Pelodiscus sinensis: one gene and its partner. The protein of the gene in region 2 interacts with the protein of the main gene of each other region in a pairwise test. Links are inferred from orthologs where the notes say so. Each region holds a gene or a part of one and is shown on either strand. Other genes may lie near its edges.

What was found.
Region 1: the proteins of PRKG1 (region 2) and ZNF646 interact in binary tests that used the Homo sapiens proteins (3 or more experiments, as listed by UniProt). The two-hybrid records come from large-scale screens. The link is inferred for Pelodiscus sinensis from reciprocal best matches to the Homo sapiens genes PRKG1 and ZNF646.

What each region holds. Positions count from the first base shown.
Region 1 is NC_134714.1:133,519,042-133,526,768, forward strand, and holds the start of ZNF646 (zinc finger protein 646), read right to left. Parts: upstream 3,079-7,727; 5' UTR 2,923-3,078; intron 2,256-2,922; exon of another isoform or gene 1,948-2,255; intron 1,689-1,947; exon of another isoform or gene 1,282-1,688; intron 1-1,281. UniProt on the Homo sapiens protein: May be involved in transcriptional regulation.
Region 2 is NC_134718.1:37,896,833-37,904,450, forward strand, and holds the start of PRKG1 (cGMP-dependent protein kinase 1), read right to left. Parts: upstream 3,021-7,618; 5' UTR 2,725-3,020; coding exon 2,414-2,724; intron 1,210-2,413; exon of another isoform or gene 1,187-1,209; intron 1-1,186. UniProt on the Homo sapiens protein: Serine/threonine protein kinase that acts as a key mediator of the nitric oxide (NO)/cGMP signaling pathway. GMP binding activates PRKG1, which phosphorylates serines and threonines on many cellular proteins.

The DNA of each region.
Region 1 (7,727 bases), on a different chromosome or scaffold from region 2:
TTGCCACCTGTAACGAACTAAATAAAGGACTAAATGCAACTCTGTTTAATTTGTAACCTTTGCCCCGAAAAAACGTAACGTCACGCAGGTATATTTCGGCGTTTCTGAACACTGGCAACTGGCTTTAACTGACTCCATATTTTAAGGACTTCAGGGTGGGAAACGCGCACACACACACTCTCTCTGAGTCCACAATTTCCTCCAGAAAAGGCCAGCACCACACAGATTTATGTGACGAGACAAAAAATTGACAATGGAAGTTTTCCACTCCCATGAGCAAAGATCGCTGCCGGCTTGAGATGAAGTATAAAAAGTTGAAGCCCAAGAGAAGACTTTTTGGCTGCCTGACACACAATCTGCCAGGGACTATAAGATCTGTGCCCAGTGTAACCCATTTGCCTTCAATGCCCCAGATATTGCTAAAGAAACAACATTCTCCCAGGTCAGCCAGAGGGTGCATGTGGGTGGCTGTTTTCTGTTTAGTCACACTTGCTGTCCAAGTTTCTAGGCCCCCAGCATGCTCATAGGAGACAAGTCAACAAGGCTACTCCCCAAGGTCGGCAGAGAAAGCAGCTCGCTGTGCTCTGGGGGACAACACACGTCACTCCGCCTTGCGACCTGGCTGCTTCTCGGGTGGGCTACTGGGAAACAGCCGCACAGTGACACAGCACGGGGATGCACCGCCTGGCACGGGGATGCTGCCATCTCTGGGGAGGGCCAGCAGGGTAACACAGCCACAGGCCGGGCTGCCTGGCAGAGCGCTCATCCTGCAACGCAGCAGCTCCTAGGGCGGGATGCAGCAGGGGGACAGGCAGCCCCATGTGTGGCGAAGGGAAGAGGGACACGACTCTTGGAACCGCAGGGAGAGGAGCTGGAACGAGCCAGACTCTCCGCAGCCGCAGGAGGGGAGCGGGGGCCAGTGGTTAGAGCAGGGGGAAGGCTGGGAACCAGGACTCCTGGGGTCTGTCCCCAGCGGTGGGGGGGGGGGGGGCGGGAAGAGCGGGGCCCAGTGGTTAGCGCTGCGGGGGGGGGAGCGGGGGGGGGCTGGTTAGCGCTGCGGGGGGGGGAGCGGGGCCCAGTGGTTAGCGCTGCGGGGGGGGGGCTGTGGGGGGAGCGGTTAGCGCTGCGGGGGGGGACTGTGGGGGGGAGCGGGGGGGCTGGTTAGCGCTGCGGGGGGGGAGCGGGGCCCAGTGGTTAGCGCTGCGGGGGGGGGCTGTGGGGGGAGCGGTTAGCGCTGCGGGGGGGTCCCGGCTCTGCCCCCCCCGGCGCCCCCCCTCTTACCTTCAGGGGCCCCCCCGCGTGCCGGGGGCGGGGCCTAGCGGGGGGGCGGGGGCGCCGACTCCGGGGGCCACGTCGGGGGCGAGCCCCGGGGCTGCCGAGCGGGGGGAGGCTCCTCGCCGGGCCCCCCCGGGAGCGGAAACGGGCCCCCCCGCGCGCCCTGCCGGGGCCGCACGACTCCCCCCGGCCCGGGCCCCGCGGACACTTCCTTTTGTTGCTAGGAAACAGGAAATGTGCGGCGGGGAAAGGCGGCCGGGCTGCCCGGGCGCGGGGCGCCACTTCCGGCGGCGTCCCCGCCTAAAGGGCCCCCCCCGGCACGCGCGGCTCCCAGGGACCGTTCCGCCCCTCCGAAGGGCGGGGGGAGCGCCCAGAACACTCAGACCCGCCCCGCCCCCTCCTTGTGTCACAGGCAAACCCTTCCCCTCCCGCATGTGCCAGGACTCCTGGGTTAAGGGGGGGGGGGAAGAGCCAGGACTCCTGGTTTCTTCTCCCCCCCCCCCCGCTGTGTCCTATTCAAAGCCCCCCTTCACCCCGCCCACTTCCTTTGTGACGCTGCTCTGGCACCACCCCTCCCATTGGCTGAGCTGGGTGCCACACTTCCGGTTATGGCCCCACACCCCCTCCCCCTGCCATGCCACACTTCCTGCGGTGCAACCCCCAACCGCTCCCCGCCCCCAACCGCCGCCCTGGAAACAAGGTTCCGCCCTGTGCATTCTAGCCCCCGAGTGCACCCCACCCTGCTGTCCCTGGGGTGCTGCAACCCCCCCTGAGCTGGGAGGCAATAAATCCCTCCGGCTGGAAACCTGCGGGGCCTTGGGAGGGTTAATACCCCTTTAAGCGACTCCTGTGCTTTGCATTTCTCCCCCACCCCCTCCTCTGCTGCCTTCTCCCGCAGGGTCCTAGGGGCTGACTCATTCTGCTCCAGCGGGGAGTGGGGGCAGCAGCTTCGGCAGCAGCAAAAGAGACGCAGGAGCCAGGTAAGGCGGAGGCCAAAGCAGCGCAGCCCCTGCTCAGCCGGGCCCCAGCCAGCTCCTGGTTTTGCATGCAAGAGGGGGGGGTCTGCTTTGCAACCCCCCCCCCCCCCCCCAGGACAGCGCCTCTCCCCTGCTCCCAGCCCTCCTGGCTCCTTGCAGCCTGGTGCGAGCCCGGCCCGAGCCGGCGGCTGTTCCCCGTGGTGGGAGCGGGTGCAGCCCTGCCGCCGCGCTGCTGCGAAGCCCGGGCGGGCGGGCGGCTCCCGGCCCGTGGTCCTAGAGAGAGACATTTTGCAAGCGCCCCGTCCTGCAGCGCGCTCGGCTTTTGCACGGCTGCGGGGGCGGCTCTCCTATGCCACGGCTCCGTGCTCCCGGGCGGAGGAGAATCCACCATCCCCCCCCCCCCTTTTGGGGGAGCATCCCAGCAGCGCCCCGCTTTGCAATGCCTCCCTGGGGCGGCGTCTCCTCGCTCGGTCCTAAAACCAGCCATTTTGCGAGCGCAGAGGGGCCCGCCCTTTGCAAAAGGCCTCGCCTTGCAAATCACCCCCCCCCCCAGCCACGTTGCTGGGCTTCTCTGCTGCAGGCTACGCGAGGGGGTCGCCTCCAGGCCTGAAATGCACCCAGCGGGCTCCCCTCGCCCTGCCTCCCAGCTCCCGGGGCTTGCACGTCCCACCTTCCCCGGCTCTGGCTCCAGCCATGGTGCTCGACAGGCTGAGCCGGGCAGGAACGCGGTCTCCTGGCGCTTCTCTGCCGGGCCCTGCAGGATTACACCCCTTTGCACCGGCCTGGCCTCCCCCGGTCCTAAAGCCAGTCCTTTCACAATGGCTTTCCGCCTCCCGGCTCGCTCCCCCGGCCTGCCCGAGATCCGGAGCCCGGCAGCTGCCGGTCCTAGAGGGACCCAGGTCGCTTGGCTGCGCAGACACCCCCTGGCTGCACTGGCTGCCCCAGGCTTGCTCCTGACACCTGTGGGCATCTCCGCCCGAGCTGGCGGCTGAGCCCAAGGCAGCCTGGCATCCGCCACATGCTGATTTGTCTGTAAGCCCGGAGAGTTGCCAGAGGCCTGGAAAAAAGCAAATGTGCCAATTGTTTTTTAAAGGGACGATTCAGGTAATTCTAGACCTGACCTCACCTTCTCCTGGTGACCCCCGTTATCCTGGGGAGAGGATGACTTAAGAATGAAAGGGGTGTCACGTAATTAATGCAAATCAGTGGTGGGCAGGGGGTCCATAGAACCTGTAACTCAGTGGTCCCCAATGCGGTGCTCACCAGCGCCATGGTATTTATGTGCACCCGCCGAGTGACCAGGGCCGGCACAAGCCATTCTTGAGCCCCGGGCACGTGGCTAGAGCCGGCTCGAGCCATTCCTGCGCCCTGGGCAGTCGGCGCACGATGCATGCGTGGCTCCGCCCCTAGGTGCACGATGCATGCGTGGCTCCGCCCCTAGGTGCACGATGCATGCGTGGCTCCGCCCCCAGGTGCACGACGCATGTGTGGCTCCGCCCTCCGGCGCGCGGCGCACCTTACAGCTGCCATCGGGCACCCCCCATAGGTTGGTGCCCCGGGCAGCTGCCCAGCTAGCCCCTCCCCCTTAATCCAGCCCTGCGTGTGGCACGTGCACGGCCGCAGCCCTGCCCCCGGGCGCCCGGCAGCCCCAAAAGGTTGGGGACCACTGCTGTGACAATGTTTTGCTGATGCCGATAGTCGTACTGATGTGATCTATCTTTGGGCATCTGGAAGGGGTTTGACTGGGGAGCATATGACGTCGGATTAAGAAGCTAGAATGTTTATCAAATGCACAAGGCCCGGGTGCAATGGTTTAAAACGTGAACAGCTGCGAGATCTCAAAATTCTAGAATACTAGGACTGGAAGGGACCTCGAGAGGTCGTCATGGCAGGACCCAGCACCATCTAGATCAGGGCTACTCAACTTTGGAAGCCCCGGGTGCCACACTGATACTCACAGCACATGCCAAAGGCCACAACTGAAGTGTGGTTGCATGTACATGAAATTAAAAATACAAATAAATGCAAATAGCTTCTTGCACACTGATGGGCATGAATACAAAGATGAAGGCAAGTCTACACAGCACGCAGGCCCCATTTAAGTCAGTTCTGCTGATCTTAATAAAATGCAACATTTACCCCATTTCCACCCATAGGACAGCACTTTTGATGAGCAACGACAGTCCAGGAATTTGACTACTAAAGCGCATCTCAACAGAAGGCCATTCTATTGACGACTTTTTGTTTTGGCTCCCGCCCGGGGGCCGCACACTGAGTCCCACGTAAACCCAAACTTGCACCGCGGGCCGCAAGCAATCAGGTTCTCGGCCGCATGCGGTGAGAAGCCCTGGTCTAGATCAACCCTGACAGGTGTCTGTCTAACCTCCTCTTACATATCTCCAGTGATGGAGATTCCACAACCCCCCAGGCAATTTATTCCAGGCTATGTCTATACGTGCGGCGTCTTGCACGAGAAATATGCAAAAGAGGCTGAGCGTGGAATATCGCCGAGCTCCATTTGCATACCTAATGAGCCGCCCTTTTTGCGGAAGAGGCTCTTGCGCCAGAAGGAGCTGTCTACACAGCTGTCTTCTTGTGCGAGAAAAACCCTCTTGCGCAATGCCGTCACGCCGATTATTTTCCGGGATAACCGCATTGCGCAAGAGGTGTAGCGGCTCTTCTGCAAAAACGGTGGCTCATTAGGTATGCAAATGAGGCTCGGCGATATTCCATGCATCGCCTTATTTGCATATTTCTCGTGCAAGAAGCCGCGAGTGTAGACATAGCCCCAGTGTTGGCCCACCTTGACAGCAGGAAGTTTTTCCTGACGTCCCACTTAAATCTCCCTGCTGCGGTGGAAGGGTGCCCCTAGCGTGGTCTTGCAGGGAACATAAAGCGGCCAGTCTGGGTCACAGCAAAGGTCCATCTAGCCCAGTGTCCTGTCTGCCCACAGTGGTACCCAGAGGGAGTGAACAGAACAGGAAATCATCCAGTGATCCCTCCCCATTCCCAGCCTCTGGCAGAGGCCAGGGACGCCATTGATGGACCTAACCTCCAGGAATGTTTCCGGCTCTTTTTTAACCCTATTAAAGTCTGGGTCCTTTCTTGGCCCTAAGCTATTTCACCTTTTTCTCCTTGGCCTGGCAGAAAGCACAAAATCTTCACCCACAGCATTTCCAGGGGCATAAAAATGAGAGGACTGGGAAGTCCTGAAGAGAAGGGATCTCTGATACAGAGCGATTTGGCTCGCTGGGTAAGCTGGGGCAAGCACATAATGGCTGTGTCTACACTGGCCATTTATTCCAGAAAATCAGCCGCTTTTCCAGAATAACTTGCCAGCTGTCTACACTGGCCCCTTGAATTTCCGGAAAAGCACTGACGATCTAATGTAAAATCGTCAGTGTTTTTCCAGAAAAACTATGCTGTTCCCGTTCGGGCAAAAGTCCTTTTCTGGAAAACTGTTCCGGAAAAGGGCCAGTGTAGACAGCTCAGTTTTCTTTTCTGCAAAAAAGCCCCGATCGAAAAAATGGCACCCCGGGCTTTTTTGTGGAAAAGTGCGTCTACATTGGCACGGACACTTTTCCACAAAAAGTGCTTTTCCGGAAAAGCATCCTGCCAATGTAGACGCGCTTTTTCCGAAAATGCTTATAACGGAAAAGTTTTCTGTTTTAAGCATTTCCGGAAAAGGGTGCCAGTGTAGACGTAGCCAACGTGTGTTGAGCTAGCTAAATGTAAATGCGTCTTTTTCAGGGTCACGGCTTCCCAGGAGCGAGCAGGCCGTATGAACGGGGTGGTGATGTTGGAAAAGATTTAGGGGTCAAGTTCAGTTGCCCAGGGGCCCCCCGTGCAAGGTCGTGTTGGCTCTTTCGGCCACGATCCTGATAAACAGGCCGATCTCAAGCAGGGCGGTTATTTGTCTTCTGCATGGCCCTGTTGGGGCGGCTGTTTCCCGTTTCCATGCAAACACGCCCTCTAGTGGCTGACTCCAAGAGATCCGTCTGTTCTAGGGATGTTAAAATGAATCCGCTGATCGACTAGTCGATGGAATTTCCATCAACGATTCGATACGTCGATAGGGACGCTTCCGCTTTGGAATGTAGCAAGAGCCCGCCCGGCTGTTGCTTCGTTTCAAAGACGGAAGTGCCGCGCGGCGTTCCACCTTTGAAATGTAGAAGGGGCCTAGCCAGTTCCCCCCAGCACTCCCTTCTCTACCCCCCGTCCCCTCCCCGTTGCCTCTTTCCGAGAGAGGCAACAAGGGGGGGAAGCAACTAGTCGCTGAGTGTGTCGCTTACATCCCTAGTGTGACGTAGTGGGGGTACCCTGCTGGTTGCTGAGCTTGGACTGTAGGCTTGACCCCCACTGGCTGTTGTCTGTAGCACGGCCCAGCAGGACAGGGGATGAGTCACTAGACAAGGGTCTCCCAACCTGCCCGACCAGTTACCTCCCGGGGAGAGAAACAAAGGAAGGAGGGGAGGCCAGCCCTGGCTGGGGGGCAGGGCTGGAAGACAGGTTTGAGTTTCTATCTGGGAAGCAGGGAGAAGGAGCTAGGGAGGGGGCTGGGATTGTAGGGCCCAGCCACCCCCCATCTCAAGGGAGGGCACTGAGGACTCCTAGCCCCCATTCCTGTAACCAGATTACATCTGTGCTGTGCTGTATCCTGGAGAAGCAATAAACTCCCTCTATTCTACCGGCCGGTGGAGTCTGCTCGTGCCACTACGGGGGTGCAGGAGACGGGGACACCCCAACACGCCCTCACACCTAGTCTGTTCCTCGTAACAAAGAAACGAGTGACTTGATCCCACTCTGTGACTATGTTTACACTGGCGCGATCTTGTGCCAGAAGTATGCAAATGAGGCTAAGCATGGACTATCGCCGAGCCTCATTTGCATACCTAACGAGCCGCCATTTTTGCAGAAGAGGCTCTTGCGCCCGAAGGAGCTGTCTACACTGCCCCGTCTTGCGCAAGAAAACCCCTCTTGCGCAATGCCGCTACGCTGATTATTTTCAGGAAGAACGGCGTTGCGCCAGAGGGGTTTTCTTGTGCAAGACGGGGCCGTGTAGACAGCTCCTCCTGGCGCAAAAGCCTCTTCCGCAAAAATGATGGCTCATTAGGTATGCAAATGAGGCTCGGTGATATTCCACGCCTAGCCTCATTTGCATACTTCTGGCGCAAGATTGCGCCAGTGTAGACATAGCCTGTGAGTAGCCAAAAATAGCCAATACGGGGCTCTTAGCCTGGCAGAGAGAGGTCAAACAGCATCTAGTAGGTGAAAGTTGAAGACAAATTCAGACAGAAAATACGCTGGACATTTTGGACCGGGTGTGTGTGGGTGGGGAGGGGAGGATTAACCATTGGAACAATTTACCAAGGGCGCGGGTGGATTTTCTGCTGCCGCCGATGAAGATGAAGGGACAAATTCTTTTGAGGATGTTCTCAGGCCTGTGTGCGCCGGGAGGTTGGATTAAATGCTCAC
Region 2 (7,618 bases):
AGATTTGTTCCACCCACACAAATTCCCACTCACCTTATGGTCTAGGAGAATATGCTAAGTTAGTACACTGAACTGCAAACCTTTTGATAACAAAATTAAAAACATTTATTTCCAAAATGACTCTTTTAAAGTAATTGTGCCGATAGTACATGAAATACGTGTGGTATTTTGATATAAACCATGAATTTAAAAGTATACAAGCTTTCTCGTGATTACGGGACCAAACATATCAACATGTATTGGATAGTGAAAAAGATTAAACACTCTATGGAGGATATAGTCTCTCTTCTAGATGTACTCGGTTTTCTTACTTAAACCAACTTGCATAGTCTGTGGCTGCAAATGTGAAACAAGAATAGATGACTTCCCAATTTTATTTAAAGCTTGAAAGATTTATTACAATTGTCCCTTCATCTACTGTGTTGGCAACCAAAACAGCCCAGTGGCAAAAGTCACTGGAGCAGCTTTTTTTCCTTCTGGAAAAGCTCACAAGAGCGAGGAAGAGTAACCTGAAGGTAGGCAGAGCATTATTCAGCACATGAATCTGGTGGAAACCTGCGCATTGGTCTCAACTTTAGGATGGTCCCCGATTTTCTTGTAGTTGGGCTGCATGTCAGGTAAGGAACTCCTCACACCTATTACTCCACCCACCACTTCCTCTGCCTTTCACGCCATATTACACTGCCAGCAAGACTTTGATCGGTTTTATTTTTCATTCGTATCTTGAGATGAGCATTGTTCACCCCAAAGTCATTATTTCTCATGTTATCTTTAGATACATTTAATTGGTTTATGTTCATTACTCTAAAGCCCTTTATAAAATCCAATCAAATGGCACAGAACTATACTATAACCAGGGAAGTATCATATTATGACCGTCACTTTGTCCAAATGTGCATAAGTAGACAAGGCCACATACCTCATTAGATACACCCGTAAGTCTTCCAATATATACAGTTAAGATACAGGACTAAGCTGGAAACGGAGTGAAAATTTAGGATTTCCCCATAAACTTTCTTAAACTGACACACAAAAACTGCTCTTGGAGCTCAATATAAACCTTCTAAAACAACACTCGCGTCCACCTATGGTTCCTGCCCCATTAAACTCTGAACACCTCCTCTCAGCCCAGACAGAAGCGGCTATGCTGCATGACGAACACCAAGAAAAGCACTTTCTTACACACCTGAACAAAGGACTGCCGAGTTTTCTGTCACGTGACAGTTACGGCAGCCTCTCCTTACAAGAAGATGAGGACAGCAAAGACTGCTAAGGATGGAAACAAAGCACAGAGCAAAGAAACAAACCCTTCTCTTCCCCTCAGCCCTTTACTCCTGTTGGGCACAGCGTAGGAGTTTCCTAGCAGCGCATAACAGCATGTGCTCTAATCCTCAGCCATAATTGGCTGACTGCATACATGCCATGCAACTTTTAACCTCGGAATTTCCTTGGTTATGTCAGTTATATCACCGCCTGGGGGGATGATTTAAATGCAAGTTAGCAGGTGTAGTGGACCGGATTTATATTGTAAATCTCCTCTAGTAGTTCGGTGGGCTTGGCTGCTAAGCTACAGCCAAGAGCCAATTTTTATATCCAAGTTGTGCGTCCCAATGGGCGGTGTTTAAAACCTAAAAAATGTGCAAACTTAGCTCCCTGCCCACAGCCACAGCTCAGAGACATCCTTAGCCCCCGGAAACGTGCAAAGCAGTTATGCAGAACGCTGTGGAACTAGTGACATGTGGATTTGTATCAAGTAAGACCTTTGAAACCCCCACACTTGTCAGATGCAGTCCCAAATTTAAAAAAAAGAAAGAAAAGCAAGAGATTGGATTTGCCTTTCTGGATGCTGACTGACATCAGCTCAGGGATTAGCAACACCTTTGTCGGGGGAGAAAATCAGTTTGTGATAGATCAGCCTACACCCGAATCCGGATAGTAAATTCTATTTTGCTTCATATAGTTGACATGTCAAACACCCAGCACTGCGGATACACTCAGCGCAGAGACCAAGAGCACAAAAAAGCCAGACATAAGAACGTACCACATTGGAAAAGACAGTCTGATGGTGACGCTGCCGTTAGCGGGGTTATTGTTTGGATGGGCAAGGTTACACCAGCGCTAGGGAGAATGCGCTTTCCCCCTTCACGGGTTGGGAACTCTGCTCACAGTGGGCTCGGAAATACCTGGACATTGGACAGAGACACAGCGGGATACGGATGCGTGCAGCTACCGTGGCTGAAGAAATGTGGGCAGCCCAGAGAAGCGTGGTTGGGGGGGGGGGCATTTCTGAGGATGAGCACAGAAATGGAAAGCAGAAGGTGCAGGACCCGTCTAAACAAGTGGATGGACAGACAATACAGAGACCATTCAACTACCAAAGACAGGATGTACACAACGCTTAAACCCTGCTTACTGTGGGCTCTTGGGGTAGAAGGGCAGGGTGACATGGCTGAGATCCTGGATGTCAAATGCGGTGGGCTCGGCTGAAATTGCCTGCCTCTTGGTCCTGTGTTCCCCCTGCAAGGTGGTGGTGGTTTGCTGATGCGCCTGCTGGGTGGCGGGCCGGATCACCGAGCGGTACTTATCCAGCTCGTTTTGTAGTTTCTGGATCAGTTCGTCCTTCTGATCCAACTCCAGCTCCAGCTCGTCGATGAGCGCATCCCGCTGCCTCAGCTCCTCGATTTTCTCCTGCAGCGCGTACTGTAAATCCCGCAAAGTGCCCATACTCCTCCTGGGGCCAGGGGCTCCTGCTTCCGGAGCCTGTCTCTCTCCCCCGCTCCCAGCAACTTTCCCCGAAGTACCCGCAGCTTCCCCACTTCAGCCAACTTTGCCGATCGCTCCCGATCGACCTGCCGCCGGCGGATTCCTCCAGCCCTTTAAACACGCCCCCAGCCTGCGCGGGGGCGGGGGGAGCTTGGCAGCGATCCGCGCAGAGCTACGGAGGGAGGATTAGCGACATAATCTTAAACGGAACCCCACCAGCACCACTCTCCCGGAGGCTGGGTTGTTAAGGGTGATTTCGATCTGCCTGCGTCAGGCTAGACTGGAGAGGGAGAGACGGGGGGGGGGGGGGGGGGGGGAAGAGAAGAGAGAGAAAGGGGCGGCTGCAAGATGCGGTAACACATGCACTTTCCCTAGGACTGTGTCAGGGGCAGGGCTACTTTAAGTGTAATTAGTTTCCCCGAGTCTCTACCCTCCACCCTGCTTCGGAAGAGGGGCGGCAGCTTTGCAATTCCAGACTCTTCAATATTTCTCCAGCAAGGCCCCGTTTTCTGGGCAGGTCCAGCATTAGAACCGGCTGCACCCCTCACTCTTCCCCACATGAATAAATAAATCACAATGCTGCCAAACCTAAAGCAATGGCAGGAAAATCTGCGCCGTTTTCTGATGCCACCCAACAAAGTTACCGCTGGGGTAGGATGGCTTCGCTTCCCCCTTTGCCAGGCATTCAGATTTTACAGCCAACAGCTTATCCAATAATTCACTGTAATTACAACTATTAGACTAAGCAGGTATCTATTGTTAAGGTTTCACACGCCATTAAGTCCGTTTTAAGTTTGGAAGAAACCTAAGGAATCATTCAGCCTGAACCAGACTGCTATTCAAATGCTGTTCGCGGTGTGACTGGGGGTTCAAATGCTGTTTGCGGTGTGACTGGGGGTTCTTCCTGGACCTTGCCAGGCTTTGGCTCACCCAAATTGCACTGCACGGACCCAGAACTGATATAACTGCTCCTATTGTCTCTCTAAACAGGCACACCCTGACAGAGCCTGTGGCTTGTGTAACCCAGAGGCACTGAGACCACTGACATGGGAGCATGATGAAGTCTGCCCTACAACCTTAGCTATAGAGCAGACTTCACTCTCCCGTGGCAATGGTCTCAGTGCCTCTCGGTTACACACGGATGTTTCAAAAATAAGTGGATGGGACTAGGATCCTGGCAGTGATGGGCAGCAATACCAAAAATCCCACTAGATCTATGGAGGACAAGCATAATTTCCTCCAGTGCTCAAAAAATCCCTAGACCCCGCTGCAGTACAGTGGATGAAGAGCACAAAATAGGTTCCAATAGCTGGATCCAGCCAGCTTTGATCTCTCATCTTCCATATCTCACAATGTCAAAAGAGACTGAGAGTTCATCTAACACAGGAAAGGCAAGATCCAACCAAATTCCAGTAGAACAGTGTGAAGGACCTAGCACTTTGATTCTGCCAGTTTGACCACACTCACTCAATTTCTAGTGTCCTGTAAAGTCACAAAAGCCTTTGGCCATATATCCCCAAGATGTAAGTGAAAAAAGTGGCTATATCCTCCTGGATCCATGTGCATATTTGGATTTTCACATGTTCATATGCCACGATATATATCACATGTTTATTATGAAAGAGGACCTGACATACAATAGACTATTTTCTGGATCTAGCAAAACCCAGGTGTAAAGTGTGCATTTTAGTTTTGTCTTACAAATGATGTACTTGATGCACAGATCTTCTGGTCTAGCAGAAGCAGTGATATAGGTTTGGATAATATGAGGTGGGGTGTTAGTGCTAAAAAGAGGTAGGATTCAGCAGGGCCTTCTATCACAATTATAGAATTTAGGGGTTTTAGGGACACAAGATCCAGGTGAATCCAGATGCTGGATCTGAGTTGTTGCAGCTTTCATGTACCAGAAAGCATCAAGATTAATTTTTTGTCAGGATACTAGACTAGCTCTTCAGTCTTTTAGGCATTAGAATTGGGAGGAGGGAGGACCAAAAACTGACAGAAGGTGGCAGCTGTAGGGTTCCACAAATGAATGGTTGCAGCACTCATGTAGTAAGATGTGTCAGGGTCCAAACTTTTTTTAATGCAGTAGGAGTAACTAGATTCATTCCCCAGTTGTGGCTTTGTACTGAAAATATACAAGATACTTCAAAATGCAGACGGATCCAGTTTTTATCTTTTTCTGTTGTTGAGTAATGCCACTTGAGTGACTCTACAGCCCCAGCTTTCCACCTGCTGATAGTCTCTATAATATAGATAGATGAACATCTAAAAAAACCACGTTCTAAATCCCTTATAGTACAAAATGATTGTTTTAAAGGACTAAACATTACCATAAATATTTGATGAGTCTCTGCAGCTTCCTGCATGTATTTGATTCTCTGTATATTTTTCAACAAACAATTTTGGGTTACACAATGCTCAAATACCATTTCAAATAAATATGCAGCAGTTTAAATCTTTTAGCTGGGCTGTTTTAAACCAAGAGTGATACAATTTCATTTGTCTTTTCAAAATATGGACACTGTGTAAACATTTTAAGTTCAGAACCCAATTTGCTGAATATTTTCTCCCACTTCATCTTAGTAAATTGTTTGGGTTCTATCACAATATTTCTATGATAAAGATGAGTGCATCTGCATAACTTTTGCTGTTTACAAAATATAAATGAATGCTAAAATTGATGTATTATTTCCCTTTCTTTAAATCAACATATTTATTTTTTCTTTCTTTCCCCCAATCAGATTAGACCCTGACACTTAGATAATGAAATTGTATGGCTGCTGACTGAAGCCCAGACTTCAATACAATTGTTACCCAAAGTGGAAATTGATCCATAACTTTTGAGTAGCAAATAACACCACATAATTCTTTTATTTAGATTTCATTTACAGTGCATAACCTACAATCTAGATAGCTATATGTTACATGAAAAAGGAAAGACATCCATGAAATTACACTGGATCAATAAAGCTAGCAGAGGTGCACAAGGTCAGGACTGATGTGTTTTATATAGCGTCATACACATGAAGCTCTGAAATAGGTTGACATCAATGGTTATAAAAGCTTGCACATCTTCTGCTTACTTTGTCACTTAAACCATTGTTATTGGCTGCTCATATTTATGAGCAATGAAACTGGTCATATTACTCTAAATTCTTTCTAAAATAAAAAACATACTTATGGATAGAGGACATGCTCCTGTGGTAGCCATGGGAACTGAGATCCAAAGACAGTTTGAGTGACAAATTACAACAAACACCACCACAAATAAACACGGAAATAATCTTAATAGATATAACTTTAAAACCAAAGAATCCCAAAGCACTTCTACTATCAACAAAATCTTGCCAGGTGATCGACTCTGACGACTGTTGGCAGCAAAAAGTAACAACCATATTTGTTTTCTAATATCCTAAGGATGCCACAGGGCTAATTATGAATTCAGTGAGGATAAGAACAGCCATACTGGGTCAGATCAAGGGTCCATCTAGCCCAGTATTCTGTCTTCCAACAGTGACTAGCACTAAGTGCCCCAAGATGGAATGAACAGAAAAAATAATCAAGCAATCCCACCCCATCACCCATTTCCAGCCTCTGACAAACAGAGGCTAAGGACACCATTGCTACCCTTTTTTGCATTTCTTGAGGAGAGCCCATGTGGAGTTAATAGATTAGATAGGCAAACCCCGTGCATAAGAAATCCCAGCACTGTAATTTAGGGAACACATCCAATACAACTGCAACATCCCTGACCACATTGGTTCTCTGACACAGCCCCAGCAGCACTCACCACGCTGTGGCGAACTGGGGCAGTCTTCTCCCATCCTTGTACCAGGACAGCCATTTCAGCTCTTTCAAGTGGATACAACCCTGCTCTTCCCAGCAAGAACCCCCACAGAATCCCCTACCCATCTTCATTTCTGGTGGTTCCTCTACGTCCAGCAATCTATCGACACCTACAGGGCTGGCGAAGTTTCTTCACCACTCCCTCACCTTCAGCCTTTGGTTCCTGCTTAAAGCCAGCAGGCACCAGCCTTTTTTACTTTCAGACTTCAGCTGTCTTTAGTCTTTGCTCTCTGTCTGGCACAGGAAGAACAGCAGGCTGTCCCTTCACTGTTTTTTTAACCCCCCCCCCCCCCCCCCCCCCCAGCCCTTTTCATCCTTCTAGGCTTTGGCCTTTGAAATCAGTAAGCTAGCACCACCACTGGCTTCCTGATAACTGCCTTCTTCCTAGGAAGCTTCTCTGTTCACTGCTGTTTTCTATACAGGCTTCCTCTATTCTCCTGGGTTTTCCTGACTCCCTAGGATTCTCAGTCACTGGGTCACTCCCAGATCTTTTATGGCTTCCAGGTGCTACTGTAAGGATCAAATGCTGTATATGTTAATGTTATATTGGCCCACCTTCTTAATTAGCCACATAGGGAGCACCTGTTCCTGCACTGGGGCATCACACCTGCTTCATTTACAGAGTTCTTATTACAGAACTTTAATCCCAATTCTCTGTGCCTTCGTAAGTATTAATTGACTAATTTAATGTATGTCTCTTCCAGCTGAGAAATCCTCGTGAAGCACCTGCCTTAGAACTCCACAGTGGACTGTACAACAAACAGTGGAAGAATGAGGTACACAAACTAAAGGGCCCATAGTTAATGAGTTCATATGCGGCTAAGTATCCTATGATAAAGGTCTGATTTTAGAATGACCACTTAATTTTTCTTAAGTATCTGTCTAGATGCTATGCACACAGAATACTGCCTGATACTCACTGGTAAGGTAATGATAAAAATGAAAACAAAAAGGCATCTTAAATGTGAAACAGCTACAACTTCTCTGAGGGACAGAACCAATTTTA